Linked DNA regions of Arabidopsis thaliana. The protein of the gene in region 3 purifies or fractionates together with the protein of the main gene of each other region. This does not show direct contact. Each region holds a gene or a part of one and is shown on either strand. Other genes may lie near its edges. The genes, in order: OLI2, AT4G15770, YAO and AT4G17590.

Region 1 (9,644 bases), on a different chromosome or scaffold from region 3:
TCTTAAACCAACCAACCATAAACGACTAGAAGATTTAAAGAATCGAAACAAAACCGGGATAAACCGAAATAAACCGAAGGAACATAGAGATACATTACCATTGATGACGATCTTGGACTCGTGAGAGTCATCGGAGGGTTTATGTTCGTCGAAAACGCTCGTCATTGTTTTGTCTTCAAGCTCCTTTTTTCCGTCCTTCACGATGGTTTCGTTTAGAAACCGAGGTTGTCTCCGGCGACGGTGACCGGATTTTCTAGCCCTCGGTAACCAGTCGGAATTTTAGAAAAGAAGCCTGAAGATTAAAGATTACGATAACGTTTTTAGCCTAGAAGCATTTGTTCATGAATTTGACTTCATATATAGACTTTCGACACAAAAAAAATGGATGTCAATAAAAAAAAATACAGACTTTAGACAATTTACACCACATGAATTTTGGTTTTTACCGTTTTACTATTATTAAGGTTAAGGAGACCGTTAAATAAGGATCCGTTTTCTTTGGTTTTTTTTTTTTTGGTCAACATTCTTTCAAAAGTATTGACTCAACAAGAATAACTAATTCAGAATTTTGTAAACTGTATTGGAATCTTGAAAGCGGACAACTCAAGATTCTGTATATACTGTATTTAATTAGTATCTTAATTGAATCCTATAGACTGGAATCTTATCAAAGTACCTCTTCTTTTGCACATGAAGAAGAACAAAAAAATAAAATGGAAATAATTGTGATGATACAAAAAAGAAGTAAAGATAATGATGACATATACTAAAAATGTATGTAGCTGGTCCCGATAATTAAGAAGTTAAGACGTATCGAAATCTAATATGCTTGAAACATGCCATGGTCATGTCAATTACGTTTGCTAGTGATATTTGAAGACTGAATTGGGTCATTGGTTCAGCTATATTTCAACAATTCAGATTTCGTTAAAAATAAACTAACAAGTAGAATAAAAAGGTTATCTATCTACTTACTAAAACCAGCATTTAGGTTTAGTGGCTTTCTTGTTCAATTATCTGCGTATTCCATATTCAACTTAAATTTTTCGTTGCCAATTCATCACCATATTGAAGTACTGTATCATGCTATTAAGTTTAAACAATATTTTGTAGACCGACTTTTAAAATACAACAAAATTGAATTAAAAATGGATTAGAAAGTCCTAACTAATTATATAAGATAGTCCAGATGGAAGAACTCAATTCGATCTGAGTTTTAGTAAAGTAATTTAATGAATCGTAAATCTTAAAAATCATGAAAAATCACTTGCAAGAAAGTGAGAAACAACCTATGGACCACAATAACAAGAATTTGTCGTAAAACAAAGAAAAGGTTTTAAGTTTTGTTGGAAACTTACTTGGTCAATTCTACTCGTGGTAATGTGGTGGACAAGCCTTAAATCGCGATTACAAGCTTAGAGAATGTTGTAAAGAAATACTCCAAGAAGATGGCATATTTATAGGACGAGAAGAACAAAAATAAAAAAATTTGGATATCCATCGCAGTTATTACAGATTCTTTATTTCTATAAATAGATTCCTAAATCGTTGCGTTTTGATTCTATATTCTATTTTTGTAAATTAAAAGTCCATGCATGGTTAGATATTGCACTGTCGTCTAGGTTCATTTTTACGTTTCTATTGCCAGCTCTAACGATTTTGACTGTGATTCATCTTTAATTAGATAATTAAGATCTATTGCCAGCTAGCTCTATTGCCATATTAATTACATAATTATCTCTAAGACTAAAAGATCATGTTCTGATGAAACTTGTCAACTTGACATGTCTCTAACTGCCAAAACTTATGAATTTAATGTACGTAGAACTTTTTAATATTGACTCCGATGACTTATTTGATGTTTGAAATCATGTGTAACAACTTTTGGCTCGATAGGCCTAATATATTTATTAGCTTTTCACAACCAGATTCTTGAATGAGACTTTTCTAGCCGTCATGTGAAAATGATGTAGCTAATAAATGGTCTTCTTTTTTTATGAATAACACCGACTCAAAGGTAATTTCAATGAGAAAAATATGAGCATTTTAGGTATGTCCTCAAACAAATTAAAACTGTATTCAAATAATTGATCATCTTGCTACATTATATAATAGAGGTGGTGATCAAACATCATAGCATAGTCATATTGTTAAGATGTCTCAAACATCGTCGCATTAGGTCTGAATCGGCAGGGCCGGTCCATATACTAATAAGTAATAACCAAATGTTATGAACTACGCGAGTGTAAATAACATAAGATGTTAAAATGGTTGGTGAACGTGCATTAAATTGTTCTACTGAACGCGTTATTGGTTTTAAGCATGTCGATATTTGTAGAGATTGTAATATGTTGTACGTATTAGAGATTAATATAAACGCGTTATTGATATGTATATTACATTTGATATCATGCGTTTGCGGACAAATAAATATCTTTATTATATACATCATATCGTCACATGTAATGTGTCACTATATATAATAGAAAAGAAATCAACTTAAATGATTGTAGTCCAATCCCCCTATATAGTCGTATATATCTCATCGGTCAAGACACATATGACATAACCAATTTTTAGTTTGAGTGTTCTACATGCACGCATGTATTCAACGAATGGGTTAAACGTTAACTCGTTCTCGTAAGATTATTTTTACATAAAACAGTGAATCTTTTTATTGGTAAATATACATAAAACTGATAATAGTAATAATCTAATTTAGCAACTAGTTTATCCTCAGAATCATTAGATACGTTACTGATCTATTATGATTGCTTAGTGATTAGATAGAGCCGATATCAACTCAGTTTGTACGCACAAGACAGAAGACTAATGAATAATGACAATATATATTCTCGACCCATTTCACACAATGCTAGTACAAGATAAGGTGCTTTCGTGTCATAGAGATTTTGACAAATTGATTATAACTTCCGTTGACTGATGGGAGCGAAATTGACAAAACCATTAACAGATTATGAGCAAGTTCTCAAGATTTTTTAGTTTTCTTTCTCTCTCGGTCCCAAAAGAAAAGATGACAATAGCTAGCATCAACTTGTTAGAAAAAGACGATGAACAAGTTTGAGAATTGGACCACTGAAAATCCAATTTCCACCCAACCAATTATTCTACTATTAGTGGAAAAACGTGGTCAACCATCTTTGTCAACTTCGCCAATATGCTTTTCAACTTCTTAATTAATGCCTCAAATCTCGGAACTACATTTTGTCACAACGCTAAAGATAAAAGAGAACTAAAAGTAGAAAAACAAGAGTTTGTGAAAGTTTACAAGTTTTTTTTGTAGAGAGAATTTTAACCGTGTTAATGTTTTGTTCCAAATGTTTTTGTTTGTTTTGGAAAAACAAAAATTTGGTTGTTTTTATTTCACAAGTTCAAGAGCACGCTTGTACCAACAAGATCGATGATCGTGTTGTTTCGATTCGTGTCGAAGTTGACACCGTTTCGTTGTCTTGTTTATTGATCGAGACATATTTGTTTTTGGTTGTGGAACAAAATTTTAAAGTATATTGCGTGTTCACACTAGTTTGAAAGTTGTGTGCGTATGAATAAACATATCGAATAATCAATAACAAGGCACCATATAGTTATTGGGCTCAATTTGTTTTAAATTGGGCCGATAATTATTTAGGCAAAAGCCCAATAATAGACACCAGTCAAATATACCTTTGTGTACTCCAACAATCATCATCTTCTACTTCTTCTCTTAAACCCTGGCCGCGCGAGAAAACCCTAATTCAAACCTGTAGCCATGCCTGCCCTCACTCGTAACAAGAAGAAGGCTGCGACGAAATCGATAACCCCTCCAACGAAGCAGCTTACCAAATCCAAAACCCCTCCAATGAAACCCCAAACTTCAATGTTGAAGAAAGGAGCGAAATCTCAGAACAAACCTCCATTGAAGAAGCAGAAGAAGGAAGTTGTGGAGGAAGAGCCTCTAGAAGATTACGAAGTTACCGATGATTCTGATGAAGATGACGAAGTTTCCGATGGTTCTGATGAAGATGATATTTCTCCAGCTGTGGAATCAGAAGAGATTGATGAATCTGATGATGGAGAGAACGGGTCTAATCAGTTATTCTCTGATGATGAGGAAGAGAACGATGAAGAGACTTTGGGTGACGATTTTCTAGAAGGTAGCGGCGATGAAGATGAGGAAGGATCTTTAGATGCGGATTCGGATGCTGACTCTGACGACGACGATATTGTGGCGAAATCTGATGCTATTGATAGAGACTTAGCAATGCAGAAGAAAGATGCTGCTGCTGAACTGGAGGATTTTATCAAGCAAGATGATGTACATGATGAAGAACCTGAACATGATGCGTTTAGGCTACCAACTGAAGAGGTAACATTTTTTTCATGTGTAATACTTACTCTGTTTGATTTTGGTTTTAGCATATATCTAACTGTTGTTGTTATCTTTCATTTGTCCAGGAGCTTGAAGAAGAAGCTCGTGGTCCACCAGATCTTCCTCTACTTAAGACTAGAATTGAAGAGAGTTAGTAACATTTCCAAATTTTGTTGCTTTATTACTGTTGAAATGTTGGTGTGATGGTATTTATCTAGGTTGGTTTGGATTGGTGTTCTAATTGTTGATTCATTTAACATTTCAGTTGTTAGAGCTCTTAAAAATTTTAAGGCTTTCAGGCCAAAAGACACCACGAGGAAAGCTTGTGTTGAACAGCTCAAAGCTGATCTCGGTTCTTATTATGGTTATAACAGTTTTCTTATTGGAACTTTGGTTGAGGTGAGACTCTCTAGTTTCTTTCCTTTGATATAGTATGGATAGGATGTTGCTGATATTCTTTACTTATGGATGTTGAATTGGGATTTCTCTTGCAGATGTTTCCTCCTGGTGAACTTATGGAACTTATTGAAGCTTTTGAAAAGCAAAGGCCTACGTCCATCCGAACTAACACACTTAAGGTGAACTTGGTTGTGACTTACTGGGTTGTAGCTTATGACTTTCAAGTTCTGCAATTTCATGGTGATGTATGTTTTGCTTTAGACTCGAAGACGGGATCTTGCTGATGTACTTTTGAACAGAGGAGTCAATCTAGACCCATTAAGCAAGTGGTCTAAAGTAAGTAGTTTGTTCTTACTATTTTCTATTCTGTCAGTCCTATTTTTATGAATCTTCTATTGTTGATCTGTCCTAAGTCTTATTTACTGATGTCCTACTGCAGGTTGGACTTGTTATTTATGATTCACAAGTCCCAATTGGTGCAACTCCTGAATATCTGGCTGGGTACTACATGGTAAGTGATCTTCTGATGTCTTTCCCTTTTCTTCACCTTTATGGAATGCAATTGTTTGCTTAAGTCTCTCTACTTGGTGTATTTGCAGCTTCAAGGTGCTAGTTCGTTTTTGCCAGTGATGGCCCTTGCCCCTCGAGAGAATGAGCGGATTGTGGATGTAGCGTAAGTTATCATCATCTACTCATCTACTAAACAATCGCTGCAGCTAAAAAGCGTTTGACCTTGTTGGCGTGTGATGATTCCAATTCTAGTGTTTGACTGTTTTGTTGTGTGAGTTTATAACAAGATTTTATATCGATGCAGTGCTGCTCCTGGTGGTAAAACAACTTATATCGCCGCTCTAATGAAAAATACGGGTATGTCTTCATTGGTTTCTCTTGCTTCTTATCCCCATATTCTATTTGGCTGTCGTATGTTTTTTTTTTTTGGTTTAAGTAATGTTTATAATGATGCTATTACCAGGCTTAATATATGCGAATGAGATGAAAGTACCTAGGCTTAAGTCGCTAACTGCCAATCTGCATCGTATGGGGGTCACAAATACCATAGTTTGTAACTATGATGGAAGAGAGGTTAGCTTCTTGAACATTGATTTTTCTGTTGAATTTCTGCTACCTGTTCACAAAATGTTAAAAACCCCGTAACATCTACTTGAATTCACACTACTGAAATGACTGGAATTATAAAATTTGATCTGGTTAATTTTGCTCAACATGCTGCCCAGTTTTATTTTCTTGCACTTATTCTTTATTTCGTTATCTTTGCTGCTGTCAGCTACCCAAGGTTTTAGGTCAGAACACGGTTGATAGAGTATTGTTGGATGCGCCTTGCAGTGGGACTGGAGTAAGGAACTTCGAACTTACTCTCTGTTAAACTGTAGTTAAGTTTTAGATCCTTGTTACTAAATCTCCTCTGCTACCCAATACAGATTATATCAAAAGATGAATCAGTTAAAATAACGAAAACCATGGATGAGATAAAGAAATTTGCTCACTTGCAAAAGGTATGGCAGTACCTTCTTAAATAACTTCTATTATATCTGAACAGACCAATTTTCATTCTTAAACACATGCTAAGTTAACCCTTTTTTGTTCATGAAGCAACTTCTACTCGCTGCTATTGATATGGTGGATGCCAATTCCAAAACCGGTGGATATATAGTTTATTCAACATGTTCAATTATGGTTACTGAGGTTAGTTAACTGATAATTTCCCCCATAATTTTCTTCTTTGTATTTGATTCATCCTAATTTTTCTTTATGTATGAAAAAATTGTGCAGAATGAAGCCGTCATTGACTATGCCCTCAAAAAGAGGGATGTTAAACTCGTTACGTGTGGTCTCGATTTTGGCAGAAAAGGGTAATGCACAAGTTTTTCATCTGAGGGATATTTAAAGGAACATTAAATAATGTCTCTAACTCTTTGTCCTTCTTCTCTTCATCAGATTTACCAGATTTAGAGAACACCGGTTTCAGCCATCTTTGGACAAGACTAGACGTTTCTATCCTCATGTACACAACATGGACGGATTTTTTGTGGCAAAGGTACTCACTTTTGGCCATTGTAATCGATCAACCATGCACTTGTCAATACTCTAATAGTTGATATAATCCACACAATTTGATGTAATGCTCTTGTGTTCTTTTTCTTTATACAGCTGAAGAAAATGAGCAACGTGAAGCAATCTTCAGAAGAAGGTGATGATGATGCGGTAGAAACTGTAGAGCAAGCTGAAGTGTCTAGTGATGATGATGATGAAGCTGAGGCCATTGAAGAGACGGAGAAGCCTTCTGTTCCCGTTAGGCAACCTAAGGAAAGAAAAGAAAAAAAGAACAAGGAAAAACTTGCAAAATCAAAGGAGGACAAGAGAGGTAAAAAGGATAAGAAATCAAAATCTGAAAATGTGGAAGAGCCATCTAAACCAAGGAAGCAAAAGAAGAAGAGACGGGAATGGAAGAACGAAATAGCTCAAGCTAGGTATATAAATATCTATCCCCATCCATGAACTGAGAGAACAAAATGCTTTAGACTTGTCTTTTATATATAGTTGCTTGACAATGATTTGTATAATCACGTTTGCAGGGAAGAGAAAAGAATAGCCATGCGGGAGAAGGCGAAGGAGGAGAAGTAATGATGATTCAGTGTTTTTTCATCAAAGAGAAGAAAAAACATTTGCGAAAACGTTATCATCTATGGTTATAGTAGGCTTGTGCCATATATTGGCTTTCTTGTTTTTGTTTATTCACGACGAGATTTGTGCAACGTTAAAAGCACCCAGAGTGAGCACTCTGTTGGACTCCGTGGGCAGACCACCTTAAATGTCCAAAAGTTTTGTTTCAGAAAAAAATCTTTTAAGAGAATCAAAGTTAAGTTGTGTTCTTGAGCCGATCACTAAATTGCTGTTATTTTTACTCAAGAACCAAACTAGGGGTGGCCAAAAAAAAAACTATAACTACTAACCTAAATATTTTTTATTTCGAAAAACCCAACATTTTTTAACCTAAATGTAGTTGGAACAAACCGAAATGAATATACTAAATTTTGTTAATTTTAAGTTCAAATGATTAATTATCAACTTTTTAATTAATTTGTTAATTCATCACTTCATATGTTGGAATTGACTCAAACCAAACTATATCAAACCATAATTGTATGAAACCAAACAAAATATATGAAATTGAAAGGCTCAGAATTGTTTCAGTTTAGTTTTTCTTATTTTTCAGAGAACTGTTTTTTAAAAAAAATTAGGGATTTGGCAGTGAGCTGTTGATTGGTTGTAAGAAGTTAGAGAGAGAGATTGAGAAACTCTCACACCAAAGTGGGACTTGTGTTGGAGAACATGACAACCCATTCTTCATCTATCTTTGTCAGATCTTGTTTGGGGACCTCTCAATTTTAATTTGATTATTTATCCTTAACTCTTCCTTTTTCTTTTTTTATTTGCATTATTCATTCTTTTTATAAATATGTATTTCAAATAATCGAAAATCATTAAAGATATCTAACTGGTCGATTATATGTTCCAATCAATCAATTTTTGTATTATTATGGTATGAATAATTTCATATATTTTTCTTGTTTACTTTCTTCCTGATTTTATTATATTCGAAAGAACATTTTTTTTGTCTGCTGTTATAAAGAACATTTTTGTAAGGGAAAAAGATGGTTATTTTATAAACAAAAAGAAGATAATAAAATAAATCAGGTGGACTATTATTTATAACTTTACGTCAAACAAAATCATGTGGACTATGTTCTGACATTTGGGTTGTACTAAAGTAGAGTGGATAATAAACTAATCAAACAGAAATTAACTGAAAACAAGTGTACAGTATATGACATATTATTGGAAATAAAGAACAAAATTACTGTAATTTTTTTTATAATATGCCCATCATAATTGAATTATTTTGGCTGACTTTAGTGAAACAAAAACAAAACTGGAAAGAACATTAAAATATTAAAAAATATTAGGTAAACGAATTTGCGTGTAGAAGTTGTTTTGATTGATAATAAATAGAAATCTCTATCATTATATTTATAAGTTACAACAAAGAGATCTAAACCAAACTCTAAACTAGTTTTTTTGGAGCTTACCAAAAAAAAAAAACTAGTTTTTTTGGACATAAAAGAACTAGGTATTTTTGCTATTTAAAGCATTCACAACTACCACCAATAATGATTAATCTCATTGTAGGAACACTCGAATCTTTAATTTTCACGATAAATCTTTTAACCATTGAATCTCTATGAATTTGTTAAGAAAATAATATAATTAAGACTTTGAGAGGACTCGATCTAAATCTAAGAGTAAACCTAGAAACTTGTATAAAAATGGATATTCTTACCATTTAAATGTTAAAGCATCCTTAGTGACAGTGTCCAGCTATGATTTAAATTGTAATGAAGAAACTTAGAAACCTTAATCCCTCAAGTATCATGGTAAACAAAACATTTTAATAAACTAAACCTTTTATTTTGTTATTATTGCAGTATTTTTAACCTAAAGAAATGGGATTATAATGAAGAAAGATTCCCCACTCGCGTTTCACGTCACAAGCCGATCGTGTAGCAATTGTCGTTATTGGATCTGAGCTTCTCGATTAAAAATTGACGCAGTAATTGGATCTAATAAGAGCATGAGGTTAAAATATGAATTATTTGAGATATGAGGAAATGAACAAATTATACCCACTTGTGTTCTTTTATGTTGAACAATCTTCTGGTTTGTCAACTACCTGTTGAACCATTTCTAAAAAAACATTGTTTCTGTTCGATTTAAATGTGGGGGAAAAAAAATAAAATACATGAAATATAATCTTAGAATCTAAGGAAACTTATTATTGGGCAATAAATAAGAATTT
Region 2 (6,468 bases), 6.2 Mb from region 3:
CAATTTACGTGAGTGTGGTGGGTCTTTGCGAGTCAAACAAGCGCTCTTTGTTTATGAAGTAACTTGACCTGTTGACGCAAGCCTATGACGCCACTTACATTAACTCGGCTTTTGGATAAAACAACTAGTTCCATCCAATATCAATTTTGTGTACTTGTTGTAATGAGTGTGACTCAATACTTATCTTTTTGGCTTTTCCTAGTATATCAAAAATCTAAACTGACAAAAAAAAAATCGATCTTCTATACTATTAAACTTTTGATATATATAAGAATAAAGATGGGATCATCAAAAAAAACATCTTCGAATTGAGCCTTTGCAATTCTGGTTTTCTCTAGATAAGTTTTCTATCACCTCCATTGATTCAGCTTCTACATTTTGAGTGGGCTACTGGATAATTTGACATTTCTCTCTACATTTTCTTGGTTCTGTTTATGTTATAATGCAGACTTTAAGTCTTTTATCAACTAGGGTGGGGTTTTTGTAACACAAATGATATGGACTTCTCTTCCTTCATCAAAATATACGAAAAATGTATTTGAATAATTATTGATTATTTTTGGTCCAAAAAACTTGAATCCAGAATTATTAATTGGATTAAAATGTTTTTGAGAATATTTTTTTGCAGATGATACCGCCCATAATTTTCTTAAATAAGTTTTTGATTGGACTTCTTTTGTCTTTCACAACTCACAAGTGAGAAAGACTAATATCATAGTTCTTTTAATAATCGAACAAAAATTATCAGAAGCGAACAAACAGGAAACATTCGCAAGAACAATGAGTAACCAACCTCATGATACAATCATCTCACGAAGCACACAACTCTCGCAATTTAGACAGTTCGTACATAAGATAAATTTATAGACTGCCACAATCATATCGAGTATGACCAATTTGATCACGAAACAGAATCATCAACATAACTACAAGCAATAGCTTCCTAACCGGCGAAGAAGCTGCTATTAAACTACCGGTAAGATAAGTTTGTGTCGAAAGCCCCACGAGTCTACCTCTTCTTTCCCTAATGTACTCATCAATTGCTTCTTCTATTTGCATCCTTGAAGAGAAGGAAGATACATTAATTATACCGTCTTGACCTAAATTTAACTTCCTCCACAAGCATCTAGCCAAAACAACACCGTCCTCAAGCGCAGCCGAACATCCTTGTCCTAAGAATGGGCCCATTAGGTGCATACTGTCTCCGGCCAACTGTCACGGTGCCACGTCGGAATTTTCCAGACAGAACATCCCAAGGAGCACGGTACCTTAAACGGTTGATATACAAAGAGTCCATATCACAATTCTTCACCATCTCTTTCCACTCTTCTGAGAATTCGCGGACTGATGCTAGTGCCAATCTTGCGATATCCTCTTGATTTTTTAAGAAGTTTGAGTCTATTTATAAAACAAATTATAAATACGTTAGTGCGTTATATGAAAACAATAGAAGTCTATGTATAGTATGAAATGTAGCATGACCGGGTTATTAATTACCTTGGGGACAATTTCGCAAAACAACAAACCAAAAGACGAGTTTGTGAGTTATAGGAAGTCGTCCGCTTACGACGTTGTCCATCTTGATTCTTATAAACTCTTGTCGGAATCCATGGTCGTCCGGGTAATTTGTGAACCCTCTGATGGCCCGCGAACCGAGGTCTTTAGTCGGGTTTAATCCTAGAAATCTAGAGACTACAGAATTTGACCCATCGCAGCCAATCAAAACCTAAATTAAAAGAAAAGTATATTATCAAAATATATAAGACCCATGCATTTCATGCTAAACATGTTGCTTTCAGTGAAAAACAAACAAAACACAAACCATTAAAACCGATCACGACCCATAAATGTCACTGTCGGCTAATATAAAGTATATACTAAAAAAATTCCACTACGGCATCACCTCAATAATTGATCAATAAATATATCTACTGTTGTTAAAACGTGCCTTTGCTTTGATAGCTTCTCCCGTTTTTAACGTGCACAATCGGAAACGATTTTGTTTCGTCGAGCTTAACCGACAAAATATGGCAACCAAGCCGGAGAGTGCCAAGAGGAAGAGCATGAGCCAAAGCTCGAACCAAGTCGTTCCTTAGTACACCTCTTACTTCTCCATAGGATGCTGGTCCAACCGATTCTCTTCGTTTAATACCTTTCTCGATCAAAACATCTCTTATCCTGTTTTAGTACCATACCGGAAATCATTATAACTAGATAAGGTTAGTTAAAATATAAATATTTATATACTTACTGATGAATTGGGAGAGACTTAAGACGAAGCTAGCTTATCGGCGACACCAAGTTGTTGAAGAGCAAGCCAGCCGTTAGTCTGAATACCAAAATGCTGCTCCTTCCGATCTTACAGACTCTGATCTCTCCAACACAACGCTCTTTATGCCCTTCCTTTATAATCATATTTGTATGTTTAGTTAGTCAATAGTTCATGTATATGTTTTCTAATTTAAATTACCTTATAATTGAGAAAATGAGGAGATTATAGTGAACCTGTGAAGAGCAAGGGAAGTTGCAAGACCAGCAATGCCTCCTCCCACGATTACTATGTCCAATTCTTCCATTCTTCTATATTTGTATTTCCTCCAAATTTTATGATCGTTATGTCCTGCAATGTCGTGGACTTATATGTGGGGGTTGAAGCCACATGGCAATATGGCATGTCGTGGTTGTACCTTGACCCGCGTATTTTTCGTTATCTATACATATTCATTCACAGCGATTTTTATTGGTATTTGTCGATTCATATATCAATTAAACTGTGTATCACACAGATCGTTATATGAAACCAATTCTGAAGAGAGAAAAAAAAGAAAAGAAAAATTTAAGCCTTCTTGTGTTAGAATTACTAATTTTAATAATTTATTTAATATTTTTACTGTATTAGTGATTAAATGTATAATTTACTTAATCTTAGAAGTATATATATATATTTAAAACAATTATTTTCTTACACGTTATACAATATTTGTAATTAATTGTATTTATTTATATTAGAAATATATATACCTTTTTCTAAAATAATATATTTTTGTTTTGTCAATTGCCCTTATAATATTAGTAATTCATTGTATGATTTCCTTATAATATTTTTACACATGAAAAAATCTCTAACTAAACATCTTTTCAATAAACTACATGAACTATCAAATTTGTTATAACTTTCAGTTATCCTCCAAAGTCCAAATATTCAAAGTGAATTATTCATGGGTTGGATTTAACAAAAATAATAATTTCGAGGTTGAAATGACAATAGATATTTTTAAAACAAAGGACCAAAGTCGAAATAACAAAACTCATCGGCCGCATTAGGTTTGGTCCTAAATCCCTAAAACCCTAAAAAAACACAATCCCTCTTAGAAACAGAGAGCTTCTCTTCTTTCTCCATTATTCATCACTTTCTTCCCCGAAGATGCGTCCTTTAGACGAGACCGAGACAACCGTCGTCTTCGAGAAGCTCTTCAAATTCGTCGGCAACAACCTCAAGAAGATCGTCGAGAACCCATCAGACGAAGGACCCGAATCTACACCCGGCAGCTACTGCTTCCGCCTCCAGAAAAACAGAGTCTACTACGTCAGCGAAGCCCTCGTGAAGCGAGCCACAAACATCTCCAGGAAAAACCTAGTCTCCTTCGGAACCTGCATCGGGAAATACACTCACGCCGGTAGTTTCCATCTGACGATTATGTCACTCAATATCTTGGCGGCGAATGCTAAACACAAGGTATGGCTTAAACCCACTTCGGAGATGTCGTTTCTTTATGGGAACCATGTCTTGAAAGGTGGATTAGGGAGGATTACTGATAGTATTGTTCCTGGAGATGGTGTTGTTGTGTTCTCGATGTCTGATGTTCCGTTAGGGTTTGGGATTGCTGCGAAGAGTACACAGGATTGTAGGAAATTGGATCCTAATGGTATTGTTGTGCTTCATCAGGCTGATATTGGAGAGTATTTGAGGGGTGAAGATGACCTTTGAAAGTTTAAAGGTTTTGTCTTTGTTGTGTCTTAGTTTGATTCTGCTTGTTGCTTTGAGTTTTAAAGTATGTAGCTGTTACAAGTTTCGTGGAACTTGGTTCTGGATCTATGAAAGTCTCGATTTTTATAAATCTGTTTTTGAGGTGTTTTGTGAGACTCTTGAGTATGTAAAAGCTAAAAAATTTACATTCATATGCGAATTTTCAAATCTGTAACCTGATGATCAAGATTTGTATTGGAGACAGGTTGAGTTTCCTGATATTGCTTTGATTTTTATACTTAAAAGCTTCAAATTCTTCATCAAGCTTGAAACTTTGGAAATTTACATACATATGCTAATTTTCAAATCTGTAACCCTAATGATTCAGATATGTGTTGGAGACAGATTGATTATGCTGATTTTTGAGACAGATTGATTATGCTGATTTTTGAGACAGATTGATTATGCTGATTTTTCTTTGGTTTTATAGTCCAAAAGCTTCAAATTGTTTTCAAGCTTCAAACTTTGGCCTTTGAGTATTAAGGGTATGTGACTGTCACAAATTTTGTGGAACATGGTATTGTATCTATGAAAGTCTCAATTGTTCTCAAACAAGAGTATCGAGAAGCTACAATTGTAAGCTGATGAATCAGTTTTCTGTATGGAAACAGATTGCTTGCTTTGATTTAAAACTTCAAAACTTATTACTGGGCATATAGGTTGTGTACTGCTGCCAAATAATCTGGAGAAGAGATGTTTAAACCAATTAAGTTCTGAAATCTTTCTGAAACAGATTGCATAACTTTTTGGGAAAGATATTGAGGGTGTTCTTTGAATAAATATGTTGTACACTGAAAATTTCCCACATTAAGAGTAGGGGATTGATATTCATCATCTTTTCAAACGTAATCTTGTAAAGTTCAACTTCAACCCAAAGTCTTGGCCTTTGTACGTTTGTTCCTCACTTGGGAATTGGGATGCAAAGCTGTGTTGCAAAATGTTTAGAAATAATATTTACTGTTATATAGTTTTTCTGGTATCATTAGTCACAAAGCCCGTCTAGCTCAGTTGGTAGAGCGCAAGGCTCTTAACCTTGTGGTCGTGGGTTCGAGCCCCACGGTGGGCGCTTTGTTTTTGTTTTTTTAATCCAAATTTGATCATATTCTGATTTTAGTTTTGAGTACCTTGACTAGTGACTCTTGAGCATGTGTTTTATGCAAGTTTTAAGATATCCTCGCCTTTAATTACGCTACGTAGAATATGTGAATTAGTATGGTACACCCAAAGAAAGAACACAAATACTTTATATAATAATACAACATCCAAAGTCAAAACCTTACAATACATATGGTACCATTTTGTTCCCCTCTCTCTCTCTTTACTAATCTCTCTACTGAAGACTTTTGTCTCTGTTTGTCGCCTGTCTCCGCCAAAAGCTCTAAGTCTCTAACCATCACGTAGAGTAATTTGTTGTGTCTTCAATCCGTGCAATTAAATCCATGACAAACCGATATCCAGATTATGAGAACAAGTAGTAGCAAGATCCCAAGAACCACCAGTTTTATCTTCATGTTCTGGTACCACAATTTCCTCCTCACCTGTGTCCCTTGGTTTTCTTGTATTCCCGCGCCTTAAAGTATACAAATTAACCCTTACATTAAAATGGCTATCACAGAAAGTCTATGAATTTAATGTTTGGAGTCAAGTTTGCCTTTACCTGAGAGCGTAGATTCTCGGTCTTGTCAGTAAGAACTGTTAGATTTTCCCCTCTGTCGATTGCCTGAAAATGGATCAACAATATTGGAGGTGTATAAAGCACAGTGATTTTTGCAGACTTATCATTGTAAAAGGTAAAGCAAAGGAGAATGATTTGTTGCTTGTCTTAAGTGTGGAGAAAGACATAAGAGAGTCAAATGATGAGCATTACCTTGTCAATATTCTCCAACATTATACTTTTAACTTCTGAAACCTGAGCCTTGACTTTTATTAGTTTTTCAATCTCCTCTGCATGGTCAACAATATAATTCATGTGTTCCTTCATCACCGGCCTGCAATATTTTAATTTTACCATTACCTTGTATTCAATATATTATAGAACATTTTCCTCAAATATTGAAATGTTTTCTAAGTACCCGAACTCCTTGTTGAGACTTTTGGCGATAGCTGTACTTGCTTTTCCACCTCCATATCTCTTCTTGAAATCAGCTTTCACACGCTCCAGAAATGCGATCGAGATTTGCTTGCTAAGAGAATCTTTCGCCACAACACAATATGCTGAATAAGAAATTTCAAAGAGCCACCATATATAAGTGAAATGCAATCCAAACCATAACAAATTATTTTGAAACACATGTGTGTAGTTTCATCTCCAAACCATAACAAATACAACTACATACAGAAAGAAAGACACAAACATCTCCAATCCGCATCACGTAAAGGTATCACCAATAATAAGACGCGTAATGTATTCATCATAAAAACTAAACTACCAAACACTGAAA
Region 3 (6,487 bases):
TCAGAAAGAAGCTTCGGTTATGTGGTGGTAAGCCGAAACAATAACCAAAAATTAAATCGAATTGAACCAAATCAATTCAAAATTAACGTCGGTTCTCATTCGGTATACAAAGAAATGGAAAACCGAACCAAGAAACCAAATTGGAGTTTTCTAAAAGACAAGAAAACCCTCGGTTTAAGCTGAATTTACAGTTTTGTGACATCGTGATTTATTTAACTTGATGTAAAACGACGTCGTTAGTTCAGTGTTCTTCTTCCACAGTCGAGAGTCGAAAACCCTAATCTCTGTACTCAAGCAACATTTTCAGACGAAAGCAATCAGAAACTCAGGTGAATCAGAAGCATGATTCGAGTTACGAAACCAAAAGCGATCATCGAATCACTGAGTTACCATCTTATCCAAAGATGCTCCGCAAGTGGAACTCCTAAAGGAAAAGCAAAGCTGAAGACAGGTCAGCCATTGAAGCGTAACAAACTCTCCATCAAGAAAGGTGGTGGCGGCGGCGGAGCACCTGTTGAAGGAGAGGAAGCAGTTAAAGGAAAAGGTAGAATTTCCGATGAGAAGCAGAAACTCTACGAGCAATGCTTAAACGCTCCTTGTCCTGTTCGCTACTTGACCCCCCAAGAGATCGAGCGTGAGGCGCAACGTGAGAAGCTAGGTTTGATTAGTAAAGAGAAGCAACGAGATATGGAGATCCAGAAGAAAGGAGGAGCTGCTTCAATGGGAGTCACCGATGAGCCGATGCGAATTGGGACGCCAGGTTTGGATTACATTTCGTTAGGGATTTTTGAAGCTGAGGAATTGCCTAAGTATAAGCTTACGGAAGAAGATGGAGAGAGACTTGCGAAGGAGTATAGTAAAGTGTTGATGAGAGAGCATAGAGAGCGTCGTGCAGCTGAAACTGCGCTTTTGAATTTGAAGAAATCTGCTATTGAGGCATTGCCGGAGAATCTGAAGAAGGCGGCGTTAGAGCCTGATTTGACACCGTTTCCGGCGAATCGAGGTATGGCTACTCTTACACCGCCTATTGAAGGGTATCTTGAGAAGGTTATGGATGCAGCTAAGAAGAGTTCAAGTAAAGAGAAGTTGAGATGATTTCGTTTAAAAGGTTAGAGATTTTGTCTTATCTCTTGCTTTTGCTTTGGAGATGAGCTTTGAATGCTTGTGTTTCGAACAATGGAATGATTCAGGATTTAAGAATGATGGTTAGTAGTTTACTGAGTCTTGGGTTTACTTTGTTGTAGAAAGTGTCTGAAATAAAGAGAAGTTGAGATGAGTCAATAAAGGTTAGAGATTTTTGTCTTATGCTTATCGTTTTCTCTTGTTTCTGATTTGGATATGAGATTTAACAGTTTGTTTTTCGAACAATGGAATGATTCAGGGTTTAGGATTGATGGTTGGTAGTATTGATCTCTGATGTCAAAGCTGTGTTCTTGGGTTTACTTTGTTGTAGAAAATATCTCAAAACTGATGGTTAGCTAGATTTCAGGTAGTATGATACTTATTGGTTAGTTTGAGATCGAGTTATATGCATATTAGCAAATAAGTGAATGAGAATCACTCACTTGTACATGAGTTAGTGTTTGCAATGTTAAAATGGAAACTTTTGGAAGCATGACCTTCCTCTGGAACTTCTCTGCATATAGGCTCGAGTCTTTGGATTATTATGTATCATTTTCGTTTTTTTTGCAGGATATGTTCTTGTTTAGTTATTCTTTCAATGCTGTTTGCATTTTTCTTGTTTCAAGTCTTCATTTTGTGGTATTCTATGTATGTTTTGGATATTTGGAACTTTCTTATCAATTCTCTGCTGGTTTTTCTTATCCAGTTGAAGCTATTAGTCAGAATGGAGCAGCAACGAGACCAAGAGACATCAAGAAATTGTCTCTAGGGATTCTAAGCTTGACTTAAGAGAATTCATTCAAGTAGTAGGCTCTTGTCTTTTTTGTTTGGAAAAGCAATCTTCTTTTCGCCGGATAAATTACGATCAAGTCTGTGTTCACTATGGATCTTGGTTTAATAATTTGCCTTTTCATATACTTATCTTCAACATTTGGGAAAACGAAACAAAAAGCTTTACTGAGAGAATGAAAAAATTGGGAACTGTTATCCTCTTTGATTCTTCAGAGCCTCAAAATGATAAGTTCTTATCTCTCGTATTAAGAAAAAATGGTACAAGGAACAAACAAAAAAGGGAGCAAAAACTTCAAGAGCTACAAGGAAATGTAATCCCTATATGACTTGCGATTAGATCTTTGGCTTTTTAGCAACTCAAAACTATCCATAACAACGCTTCATTTATCCCAATGAAATACTTATGCCAGTCTTAAGGGATGTATTGCGACACCATTTTGCGCAGATTTTAAGCATCCCCATCTTCCAAATCGAGTTTCCTGCCATGTCGATTTCACAAAACACGATCAGTTTTGAGATTAGCAATCACACAGACAAGAGGACAAAGATAGAAAAAAAGAAGAGGGAAGAGAACATAAGAGATGATCACATACCTGTCCAACACCGGCAATCAGAAATTTACCCGATTTTGCAAAAGCCAAAGAGTTGACAAATCCAGTCTGTAAGATCAAACAAGGCATTGCAAGGATTATTACTTGGTGAAGTGAAATGCATTAATCACAGTCACAAACAACAGATTCATCAGACAACACTAAGGAATATAACTAGTGAACGAAAATTTACCAGTGGAAGCTCGTACAAAGGTCGAATTGCATTAGTTTCAACAGCCCACAAACGCACAAAACCATTACCAGCTCCAGATGCAGCAAGATCACTGCCTCTACTAGTAGCAACTGCATTGACCCAAGAATTTGCTGAACAGTTATTGTTGACTGGTTCATGATCACCGTTTTCTGTTAAGCAAATAAATAAGAATTAGATATTTCAGAGCATCAGTAGCTGCAACGAAACAAAAGTGTTTTATAACTATATACTGCAATGTCAAGATCCAACTGCAACAGAGATGAAATGGGGAGGATCTAAATTAGGTTTCACCTAAGATTCCATTGGTGGTAATCCCATCAGGTATATCTTGATGTGCATTCTTGAAAACGAACACCGGTTTCTTTTTTAACATGCCCCAAAGAGCAACAGTTCCATTATCCGAACCAGACAGGTACTCATTATCACTGATGAAACAGCAGCTCTCAAGAGACGATGCAGGAGCTCGATAGATCATACGGGTGCTCTCAGGCACCTATAATCATATAACAAGACTTACAAATACAGAATAATAATAGAAACCTTATGATGATATCTTCCAACAGTGTTTACATGGAGGATAGAACTATTACCTTATGATACAGCATGGTTCTATCTCTTCCAACCGTAAGTGCACGCTCCTTCCTCAGTGCATCAATGGCTAGAATTTCACCCTGGTGTCCATGATTTTCAGTTATAAATGCTTTATCTTCTACGTTCCACACCTTCACAGTTCTATCAAATGAACCAGAATAGAGTTCTGAAGTTCCGTATCTGAAACATAGACAAGAAACTGTGTTCCGGTGACCTGGAAAGGCCTGTAGACACATAATTGTAATACCTGAGCGCAAGACTTGATGAAGAACAAATAAAAAAAACACTAAACAAAAACCAAATTTATTATCATTACCTGGACATGCTCTCGGGTACGAACATCCCAAATATGAACATGACGGTCAACTCCTCCAGTGGCCAAATAACGACCATCAGAGCTAACAGCTAAAGCAAGAGATTCTCTACTGTGATTTTTGTTACGAGGCTCCCTCAATTTCATCCCATGCGACTTGAGAATTTCATCACTTGGCCATATGTATTTGTCAGTTTTACCAGAAGATACATCCCAATGCATAATAGTACCATCTTTTGAAGCTGAAAATCCTCTAGAATCGTCATCCGATAAAGCTACCGACACAACAGATCGTCGGTGCTTGACAATAACACTAAACCCATCAGTACTTAGTGGCTCCTGAACCCTGAATCATTGAAAAACTTTAATCAATACTACTATCAACCAATCTTCAAAGATATCAAATTGACCTAAGAAATGTACAAAATCACTAAGTTTCTTCACAATTAAACCAGCTCCCTAAAACACTAACTACCCACAAACCCTAAATTACCAACAATCTCAAACCTAAACTATCTAATTTGAATACATTGAGGTACTAAATTTCTTCCTTACCTCGATGCAATAAGTCTTCGAATCCTACCACTATCCTCCTGCTGCTTCTGCATCAAACTCTTCTTAATAGTCTCATCGTCATCTTCATCATCATCATCATCATTATCCGCTTCCTCACGCTCTCTCCTCATCGCTTCCCTCCTTCTATTCAGCATCTCCTCCGCCAATCTCTTCCGCTTCTCTCCCGCCGTCTCATCAGCAAACTCATCTTCATCCTCCACTTCCCCATCAACTCTTCTCCCATCTTCATCTCCGCCAGTAAATCCGTTCTCTTCCGCATCAGAGTCCACAGACTCGATATCGTCGTCATCGTAACTGACTTTTCTCCGTTTCTTCGGCTCTTCCTCAAAAAATGGATCCCTTTCATTCGAACCCTTTTTACCTCCTCTCTTAAAGCTTCCTCCTTTCTTCTTCTCGTTGTTGTACTTCATTCTTCTCTCTCTCACTCCCTCTTAGGGTTTAACGATTTTACACTTTGACTCGTCTAGGTTTAGCCTCAGGGTTTAGTGGCGACGGAAGAAGCTGGAAAACGATTTTGTTTATTTGGTCGGAAAGTTTACAACTTTAAACCTTCCACTAGGTTTTCTTCAGGAATCGGGTCTACCGGGTTGACCCGGACTAACCAAGCCCATGACTTACCTGGTCTATGGTTTGAGCCCATTAACTATTTCGTTCTTTTAAAGCAGAAACTTGGGCCTTTAATTTGTAGAGCCGAAGACTAACCGGACCGTCAATTTAAGTTTGGTTCAATCCGATTTCTGAATTTTTGGTTCTGATTTCTGAAGAGTAGTACGTAAACCGAATTGGGAGATTCTCTTATTTCAGTAACAGTTTAATACAGTTTTTGTTTAGTGTTTTCAATTTCGGTATTTTTTACAAACTCGAATCGGATGATTCCGGTTTAATAAAATCAAATGAGTTCGGTTTAGCTGAATTTAAAACTGTTTTTAATCTTATAGTATACCGAACCGGACCATCCATCTAATTTCAATTGTCTACCAAAACCGACCGACCAGTCTTTGTCGAAAGTTGTCTTTCTTCTTCCTTGTTCGATTTTCGCCTCCTTTGGCTTTTCATTCTCTCTCTAACTTCTCTATGTTAAAATTCCGAAAGCTCGATTCAGAAATCTAGAAGCTTCCTCGAGGGCCCTCGCGTAGAAAGTCGAACTCAAATTCCCTGGAGACAAAGAAGAGGAAGATGAGCTCATGGAACTACGTTGTTACGGCTCACAAACCGACCAGTGTCACTCACTCGTGCGTTGGCAACTTCACAAGTCCTCAAGAGCTCAATCTCATTGTCGCGTACGAAACTCTCCCCCTACCTCTATTTGTTATCAATTTTTGTTTGTCAATTAGTCCCCTTTTGAATTGCAGCTGTTGATTTGGGTTTAGGGTTTTCAATGAATTTCCCATCACGAGTTAATTTTCATAAATTTACCCACTTTGCAAACAAAATTGTAGTTCAATTTCAGTTTGGGAGATGACTATAAGGATTTTAATGCCTCTGGGTTCTTTGATGAGGTGGATTTTTTGAAACTGTGACAAAGAATTGTGTTTTTTTTGGTATGGCTTTTACTTCCTGAACTAAATTACATTTGAAGATCGTGCCTTTTTTGATATGGAGGATTTTCAATTATCGTTAGCTATCAGTACTGTAAATTTGTTTGAAAGTTATCTCATTTATCCGATTTAGCATTGTCCCCTTAAATTGTAACATCTATCAGATCCATTAGTAGATTAGTTTGACAGCAGTGTTGATCTGTTCTCAGGAAATGTACTCGAATCGAGATCCATTTGCTTACCCCACAAGGACTTCAGGTACATACATCTCTATTCTGTCAAGCTTATATGGATTAAGTTCCATGTACATTAGAGTATAAAGTTCAAAAACTTTGTTGTCATGCTTTGTTTTGTTAGTAATATAAGAATCTGCTGGATGTTCCTATATTGCAGCCTATGTTGGACGTTCCTATATATGGAAGAATCGCTACTCTGGAGTTGTTCCGACCCCATGTGAGTATATATCTCTTATTGTGTTCTTTTGTCATGGTCTTAATAATGAGTTAAAATGTTGATAGTATTGTCCACCGTCTTTTGTAGGGCGAAGCGCAAGACTTTTTGTTCATTGCAACTGAGAGATACAAATTCTGTGTTCTTCAATGGGATCCTGAGTCCTCTGAGCTTATTACAAGGTATAGCTTCCAAAAGATAAATTTTTTTCCATGCATCCAGTTGATGTTAACCAACCAGTTGTGCTATTTTTCTTTTAGTTCATGATCATGTTCGCCGTTATCTTATCATTTTTTTGTTA
Region 4 (7,059 bases), 7.1 Mb from region 3:
AAAATTTATATGTTTGTGAGTACTTGAAGAAGCTTTAGAATCAAGTATGCCTGAGAAAACATCTTCAAATCTCGTTAGCCTTTTGTTTGAATAATTACACCAAAAATAAAGGAAGAAACTTTGTTTTGAACCCAATGATGATTAGTTCACAACTTCACATAATCTTTCATCGCAAGATTGATACATACTTTGTAATCGACATACATGCTAAAGTTTTCAAATTATACCACAATTAATAAGTTGCACATACAATCAAAAACCTAACCCTGGAAAGGGAAATATATCAAATAGGAGAACTATAAGCAGAGTAATCAAAGCCTGGTCTTGACATAAATTTCCAAATCGCGAAACATCATTGTATGTTCCAAATATGTACATGGTGCAACCGATCAGCTAGTTCCTTTGCTTTCGTAATCTCTTTCTTCATCTTTTCTCTCCTCTGTTTCCTCATCTCCATGACTTGCTTAAGCAGCTCTCTCCCTTCTTTAGTGTTTAGTATTTGAGCTCTGGTGCGTTTATATATGTTCCGGATAAGCTCAGGTTTACCTCTCACAAAGTCACCATCAGCAAATTCCCTTTGCTCAGAGTCAAGTTTCCTAAACCCGTATCGGTCAAGCAACCTGGTAAACAATGAGAAATTGTGGCCAGAGCCAATATCGTGGTAGCCAAAGCCAAAGATTCTTGGTAAAACATTTATCTCACTTACGAGCTGTTGTCGATGTGGGATAAATATAACTAACGAAAATAAACTTGGAAAATTGGGCTTCTTATTGGGCCTTTTTTGTTTTCTAATTAGATTAAGTTAAGTAGAGACTAGACATGATTAACGGTAATCTGAGGAAACATTGTTCAAATCTCTTGATATTACATTTGGTAAGTTCATCTCCTAATTACAACAACAACAAAAAAAGAAAGCAAGAATCTTTGTTATCACTTCTTCTTAGAACCCAATGACTCATCATCATCATTTTTCCAAGCTGCTTGCCATTGCTTATCATACAATGTAGTCTCATCAAACAAGTTCTTGAGTTTATCCACATCCTCATTCTTACGAATAAACAAAACTCCAGCCACAGCCACAAACAATAGTGTCTTGCAGAAGAAATTCCCCATTTGATCAACAAGTCCTACTCCGGTAAGACTATCGACAAAGTAAGCCATAAAGAATCCTATCATCGCCGCACGACCTACAAAGAGTAAGAGTAAGTAACATTCTTTGTGTATGTGTTTGATCTTTTGAGAGAGGAAACAAATACCATTTAAGAGTTCAGCTTCAGGTAAGTGGTATCTCTTAATCCAAGCCCACCATGGAATAATCGATGTATCGAAAAGCACTGGTTCGTCGTTACTCGTTGTTTCTGGATTCTCTTCTAGCCATTTTCTTCTCTTTGCCTCTTCAAATCAAAACACATTAAACATCAAATTCAAATTTCGAATTTTCACCAAAGTAACAGAGCAAAAAAACTTAACGAGGATCTAATTCTAATCTAACCAGCAACGATTACAGAATCCCAATCGGTTTTTCCATCTTTCTCGAACTGTTTCAGATCCCAAGTTCCATTAATCCATCTCGCATCCTGGAATTTGACAACACTCTCCGTTGTTTTCATCTCTTCACCTTCGACGGCGACATTTTTAGCGGTGGCGGTTTCTTCCTTTTTAACCGCCGGTGTTGATTGCGGAGGCTCTTTAACTATCACTTCCACGGGCTCAGGAGCCTCCACGGAGACGGCGGCGGTGGGAGAGGTTGATCCACTGTCGGAGGAAGCTCGAGTGACGGAGAGGAGAGAGAAGCGGTTACTGGAGAGGAGGGAGAATGAAAATTTGGGAATGAAATTGGGATTTTGAAGAGATGAAGAAGAGATTGGCGGGGAGAACAACGCCATTGTTGTGGTTTCTTCTTTACTTCAGAGTTTCACAAATCACAACTAGTGGTTCTAAATAGACTTGTTATCGTTTAAAGATGTAACATGTATGTCGTTTCTTTCTCCCAAATTGAGACTACGTAACGTGTTTTTTTTCCCTCTACACATACAGAAACAAAAAAGTGACTGTTATCTTCATGGGCTCGTATTAAAAGCCCATCCCAGTATTTTGGTGTTGTTATGAGGGTATCAAACAAAGAAAGTCAACACATTTACCTGATTAATCAAGCAAAGTTTTTATTATTATTTTGTATTCAACTAAGCAATGTACCTTACAATATTTTCCATTTTACAAACAATTTAAGGTTTAACTTTTTAAAAGGAAAAATTGTACTAAACTAAATTCATTAATAATATATTTAATTAAAATTTTAATTAATTTTTTTTTCTGCAAACTGAATTATATTAACCAATTGAGATTTTACAAAGTAGTTTTTGTAACCAAGGTGGTTGACGACCTGATTAAGAATAAAAATCTCCATGAATACAATTAGAGGTTGAGAGGTAATGAGCTATACTATTATTTACACGCTTTGTGAAGCCAAAGAAGATTGAAGAAATTTTTAATTAATTTAAAATTTTGAATCCCATAAAGTATGGTGAAAAGAAAGCTCAACAAAAATAAATTTGTAAAGAAAACATAATATTTCTTTTAAAACATAAAAAGCCTAAAAAATGAATTCTAAAATATGTTTTTTACCTTGATGCCCTAAGCCATGACTTCACTTGATTGTGTGGAATGTCGGGCTTGATTTATTATACATAAATGCATTGTATTTGTTATAATGCAACACGATGACCAAAGGATATATGAAGTTGATTTTCAAGTATGATTTGTATCATGTGTTATGATGAAAAGTGCTATTATATATTAGACTCTAAACTTAGTACTTGTTAAGACAATCTTAGTGAATTCCGGATTATAAATGTAGATTTGTCACAACCGGTTGTTACAATAGCATCTTATACAACTTAATTGTACGAGATAAGCTCACTTTCAGTTCTTTACCAATCTTGAATATGAGTGTCGGATAATCAAGGCGTCGCATAATCAAGGCATTTTGAATATGACTCTGGAGAACTCTTTAAACTAATCAAGGCGTTTGAGGAGCCGATGCCGACATATATATGGACGAACACTCTAAAGGTAAATTTGGTTATCCATTGTTCAATTGTTTAGTAAAGTTTTGAGATTATGCATTTTTATGATGAGTTTTGTTTTTTTGCTTAAGACTCGGAGAATATATCTTTCTCAACAGCTTTTGGACCGAGGATTTCACGTATGCCTGCTACAGAACTGGTCAACGGTAAGTATGCAAATTTTCTTCCTCTAGATTCACAACAAGTATTATGTTGTTCATACATACATGTACTTGATTCTTTCAAAACTGCTTGTAGCATGGACTTGTCATTGAAGATGAACCTGAAAGTCTTCCCATTGGGGAAACTCCTGAACATCTGTCTGGGCGCTTTATGGTAATAAAAGGTATAATATTTGCTAATGCGTCTACTGAACACTTGCTTGGTTCACTTTATGCCAATCTCCATCGAATGGGGATTACAAATACAGTTGTTTCCAATTACAATATCAATACAAAGGTTAGCTTCTTGAACCTCACTATTGATGATATTAAGGGTAATAAAAGTTCTGAAATAATTTTCTATTATTCCTTCCCGTTCAGCTATCTAGGGTTTTCCATATAAACTCAAAGGATATGGTGTTGGTGAATGCGCCTTCAACTAGAACTGGAGTAAAAATTCAACTCGTCTGTCATGTTTTAACTGAATTGTCAGGTTTTAACTCAAATGCTAACTTCTATCTATGCAGCTAATATCAGAATTTGGATCGATCAAAATGTCCATTAACGAAGAAGCTGACATACAACGCTTTGGTGTTTTGCAAAAGGTAAAACTTGCTTGGCTTTAACAATTAATGAGAGGTTATGTTTTTAACCATAATTATCTCATTTGACAGCAAAGCCAACAGATTTATCTGATTAATTAAGCAAACTTTTTTTTTAAAATTTTGTAATCCAAATCTAAGCAATGTACACCTTAGAATATCTTCCATTTTGCAAGAAATTTAAGGTTTAACTTTTTAAAAAAAACCAAAAATTTACTAAACTAAATTCATTAACAAATTATTTAATTAATTTTTTTATTAATCTAAAATTTTAAATACCACAATATATGGAGAAAATAAAGATTAACAAAATGAATTTATAAAAAAGACCTATAATATTTTTCTTAAAAAATAAAAGCCTAAAAATAAATTCTAAAGTATGCCTTTTTATTTTGATGCCTAAGCATAAAATGCATTGTATTTGTTATAATATAACATGATGACCAAAGGGTACATCAAGTTGATATTCAAGTATGATTTGTATCATGTGTTATGATGAAAAATGCTATTATATTAGACTCTAAACTTAGTACTTGTTAATCTTAGTGAATTTCGGATTAAAAAATGTAGATTTGTCACAATCGGTTATTATAATAGCATCTTATACAACTTAATTGTACGAGATACGCTCACATCAACTTCTTTACCAATCTTGAATATGAGTGTCTTTACCAATCTTGAATATGAGTGTCGGATATAATTATAGATAGTAGAAGGCGTTCACATGTCTGATTATGTTGACCAGCTTAAAGATGATATTGCTTCTCTTTATGGGTACAATAGGTTTCTTATTAGAACTTTGGCGGCAGTGATTTTCTCTGACTTTATTCTCCATGACATTCCTATCTCTGTTGCTAATTACTCATTTATCATCAACTGAAATTTCTTGTCAGACGTTTAGTCTTGCAGAACTCGTTAAACTAATAAAGGCGTTTGAAAAGCTGAGGTCTACATATATACGAAGAATACTTTAAAGGTAAACTTGGTTATCCATTGTTCAAGTGTTTAGGAAATTTATTAGGTTATGCATTGTTATGATGAGTCTTATTTTCTTTAAGACTCGCAAAATGTATCTTGCTCAACAACTTTTGGACTGAGGATTGGACCGAAGATTTCAGGTATTCCTGCCACAAAACTGGTCAACGGTAAGTATGCATATTTTCTTCCTCTAGATTCACAATAAGTATTATTTTATGAATGTATACATGTAGTTGATTTTTTCACAACTGGTTGTAGCAAGGACTTGTCAATGAAGGTGGACTTTAAAGTCTTCCCATCCTCTTTAATATATGGGTAGCTCTTTAAATTTAAAAGGTTTTTTTTGATGCATTTGTAGATTCAAAACCTTGGTTCCTTGTTCGATGTAATGACATTAGATGCACAGAATAATGAAACGATTGTAGACATGCAAAAGCCATTATTTTTTTCTTTATCATATTTTTATTGTACCTGATGGTATGCCTTGTTTATAAGTTTATTTGCTCCATATTTTTAATTTGTACTGATGATTTAATTTAAAACAGGTATAATCTCTGCTAATGCGTTTAGGGAAGACATGCTTGGTTGACTTTATGCCAATCTCCATCGATTTAACGGCTTTGATATTTTTTTCGGCTAAAAAACTCACCACATTATAGCCGTAAGGCCGTAACCAAACCTAAATTGTGTGTTCCTTTTATAACCACGCTTTTGCACTTAGTTATAGACTTATAGTATTAATTAAACTAAGTTATAGGATCATTTATACATTTTAACCCACTATAATTGAAGCATTAATTGCTAGCCCGTTAGAAACTAGTAGTAGAAACAAATTTGAAGCTATTAAAAGGATCAAGGCCGTGACAAAACGACGTTACTTAATAGTATACGTGTGCGTATAAAAATAACAAAACATCATCAAGCAAAATCCTGCATAAAAAATACCAAAACAAAATAGCCTCTTCCCCTCCTCCTAAAAGACGTTTCAGCTTTCAGCCCTAGCTAGACACACATGAATCAGGCCGACCATTCTTCTTCTCCTACTCTTCAATTTATAGGTTTTTGAAATTGTGGTACGACTCATGTTGTTTTGCTCAAGTCGAGGAGTCTCTCCATTTTAAAGGTATTGTGTGGTTAAGGAGATGCATCGAGTCACTGGCTGATCAACAAGGTCTTCGACAAAAATCTAAACACAAGAATACAGCATAGGTGAGTGCATCTTGAGGTAAGCAAGAAATAAGAAAGGGTTATCTTTTTGAAGGGAGTGTTCGGACTTTAGGGCCTCTTCATATTTTTTCCTGGAATTGAAACACTAGAAAAGGATCAACTGAAAAGCAAGGTAAAATGTCGGTGTGCTTTGCCCAACGATGACCTCGATATCCAAGCAAGATCACGAAGAAGCCAGCCCAAATGAAACAAAAATAGCAAGGTGAGCAGCAGGTCGAATGTATCCTCAATATTGCCTTTTTGGATGAGCGACCAATGGAATGGTGATGTGCTTTTGTCGAAAGGGAGGGTTGTAGGCTTTGGAGAATAGGAGAACGGGCCTAGCACAAACGCGCCAAAGATTACATGGACCGTGCGAATACTCTCACCCAAGTAGCATTTGTTTCCATTGGAGCCATATGAATCCGGTGCATATAGAGAGATCCTGAAAGTACCGTTTTGATGGACTTGTGAGACGACCAGTTTCTCTTTTTTTTTTTTAAATGCATTGAGCATAAAGCCATCAACGACGATTATTTGTAGTATGAATGATTTGGAGCACAAGAGAGGTTGGAAAAGGTTATTGTTTCATCAGCATATCAAAATATTGGTATCAAACCATACAAGAAAACATGTTGTAATAAGTAGTGAACTAGATTATGCAATGAGTTTTGGTTTTTGATTTTTGAGCCCAAAACAAAATGACTAGCTTTAGAATTAGGCACAGGTACACAATTGATTTAGGGATTCGTTTCACACTTTATTTTGCATCTTTTGGACTTTGTAATTTGTATTACTACGAGTTCTTTCTTGTGTGTATACATTATGATAATATGATGATCATCCTTTTTGGTTTAAACATGAATCCACCCTGTTTTGTTTTTCTTTGTATTGGTAAGTTCAATTTCCTTCAATATCTTTTTCCTGCTACGTGTGGGGATCTCACATGAGCCACATGGACAACACACGAGAAATCTGAAATCTTAAAAAACAACAACACGGGAACAGTTGTTCTGTTGCATAGAAAAGAGGGATTGTGACACGTTT

Evidence for each region.
Region 1: the proteins of YAO (region 3) and OLI2 fractionate together in Arabidopsis thaliana (co-fractionation; one large-scale study listed by BioGRID). This does not show direct contact.
Region 2: the proteins of YAO (region 3) and AT4G15770 fractionate together in Arabidopsis thaliana (co-fractionation; one large-scale study listed by BioGRID). This does not show direct contact.
Region 4: the proteins of YAO (region 3) and AT4G17590 fractionate together in Arabidopsis thaliana (co-fractionation; one large-scale study listed by BioGRID). This does not show direct contact.

What each region holds. Positions count from the first base shown.
Region 1 is NC_003076.8:22,643,509-22,653,152, reverse strand, and holds OLI2 (S-adenosyl-L-methionine-dependent methyltransferases superfamily protein), read left to right. Parts: upstream 1-3,635; 5' UTR 3,636-3,769; coding exon 3,770-4,366; intron 4,367-4,455; coding exon 4,456-4,519; intron 4,520-4,634; coding exon 4,635-4,768; intron 4,769-4,863; coding exon 4,864-4,947; intron 4,948-5,029; coding exon 5,030-5,104; intron 5,105-5,207; coding exon 5,208-5,279; intron 5,280-5,367; coding exon 5,368-5,441; intron 5,442-5,582; coding exon 5,583-5,635; intron 5,636-5,741; coding exon 5,742-5,851; intron 5,852-6,053; coding exon 6,054-6,122; intron 6,123-6,207; coding exon 6,208-6,282; intron 6,283-6,379; coding exon 6,380-6,472; intron 6,473-6,559; coding exon 6,560-6,639; intron 6,640-6,724; coding exon 6,725-6,824; intron 6,825-6,937; coding exon 6,938-7,257; intron 7,258-7,362; coding exon 7,363-7,411; 3' UTR 7,412-7,705; downstream 7,706-9,644. Other genes in the region: OPT1 (oligopeptide transporter 1), read right to left, coding at 99-165. UniProt on the Arabidopsis thaliana protein: Involved in ribosomal large subunit assembly, required for normal progression of rRNA processing. S-adenosyl-L-methionine-dependent methyltransferase that probably methylates the C(5) position of cytosine 2268 (m5C2268) in nuclear 25S rRNA.
Region 2 is NC_003075.7:8,974,636-8,981,103, forward strand, and holds AT4G15770 (RNA binding protein), read left to right. Parts: upstream 1-3,259; 5' UTR 3,260-3,424; coding exon 3,425-3,988; 3' UTR 3,989-4,309; downstream 4,310-6,468. Other genes in the region: AT4G15765 (FAD/NAD(P)-binding oxidoreductase family protein), read right to left, coding at 1,148-1,398, 1,498-1,726, 1,980-2,178, 2,338-2,403, 2,506-2,576.
Region 3 is NC_003075.7:2,740,914-2,747,400, forward strand, and holds YAO (Transducin/WD40 repeat-like superfamily protein), read right to left. Parts: upstream 4,723-6,487; 5' UTR 4,609-4,722; coding exon 4,178-4,608; intron 3,969-4,177; coding exon 3,626-3,968; intron 3,534-3,625; coding exon 3,309-3,533; intron 3,212-3,308; coding exon 3,010-3,211; intron 2,868-3,009; coding exon 2,698-2,867; intron 2,574-2,697; coding exon 2,508-2,573; intron 2,394-2,507; coding exon 2,316-2,393; 3' UTR 2,019-2,315; downstream 1-2,018. Other genes in the region: AT4G05400 (copper ion binding protein), read left to right, coding at 343-1,095; DDB1A (damaged DNA binding protein 1A), read left to right, coding at 5,375-5,478, 5,946-5,994, 6,130-6,189, 6,277-6,368. UniProt on the Arabidopsis thaliana protein: Component of a nucleolar small nuclear ribonucleoprotein particle (snoRNP) thought to participate in the processing and modification of pre-ribosomal RNA. Essential for embryogenesis. Plays a critical role in embryo sac development and gametic cell fate.
Region 4 is NC_003075.7:9,798,586-9,805,644, reverse strand, and holds AT4G17590 (NOL1/NOP2/sun family protein), read left to right. Parts: upstream 1-3,053; coding exon 3,054-3,072; intron 3,073-3,157; coding exon 3,158-3,232; intron 3,233-3,342; coding exon 3,343-3,524; intron 3,525-3,607; coding exon 3,608-3,676; intron 3,677-3,753; coding exon 3,754-3,831; intron 3,832-4,534; coding exon 4,535-4,636; intron 4,637-4,721; coding exon 4,722-4,802; downstream 4,803-7,059. Other genes in the region: LIL3:1 (Chlorophyll A-B binding family protein), read right to left, coding at 931-1,187, 1,257-1,394, 1,493-1,886.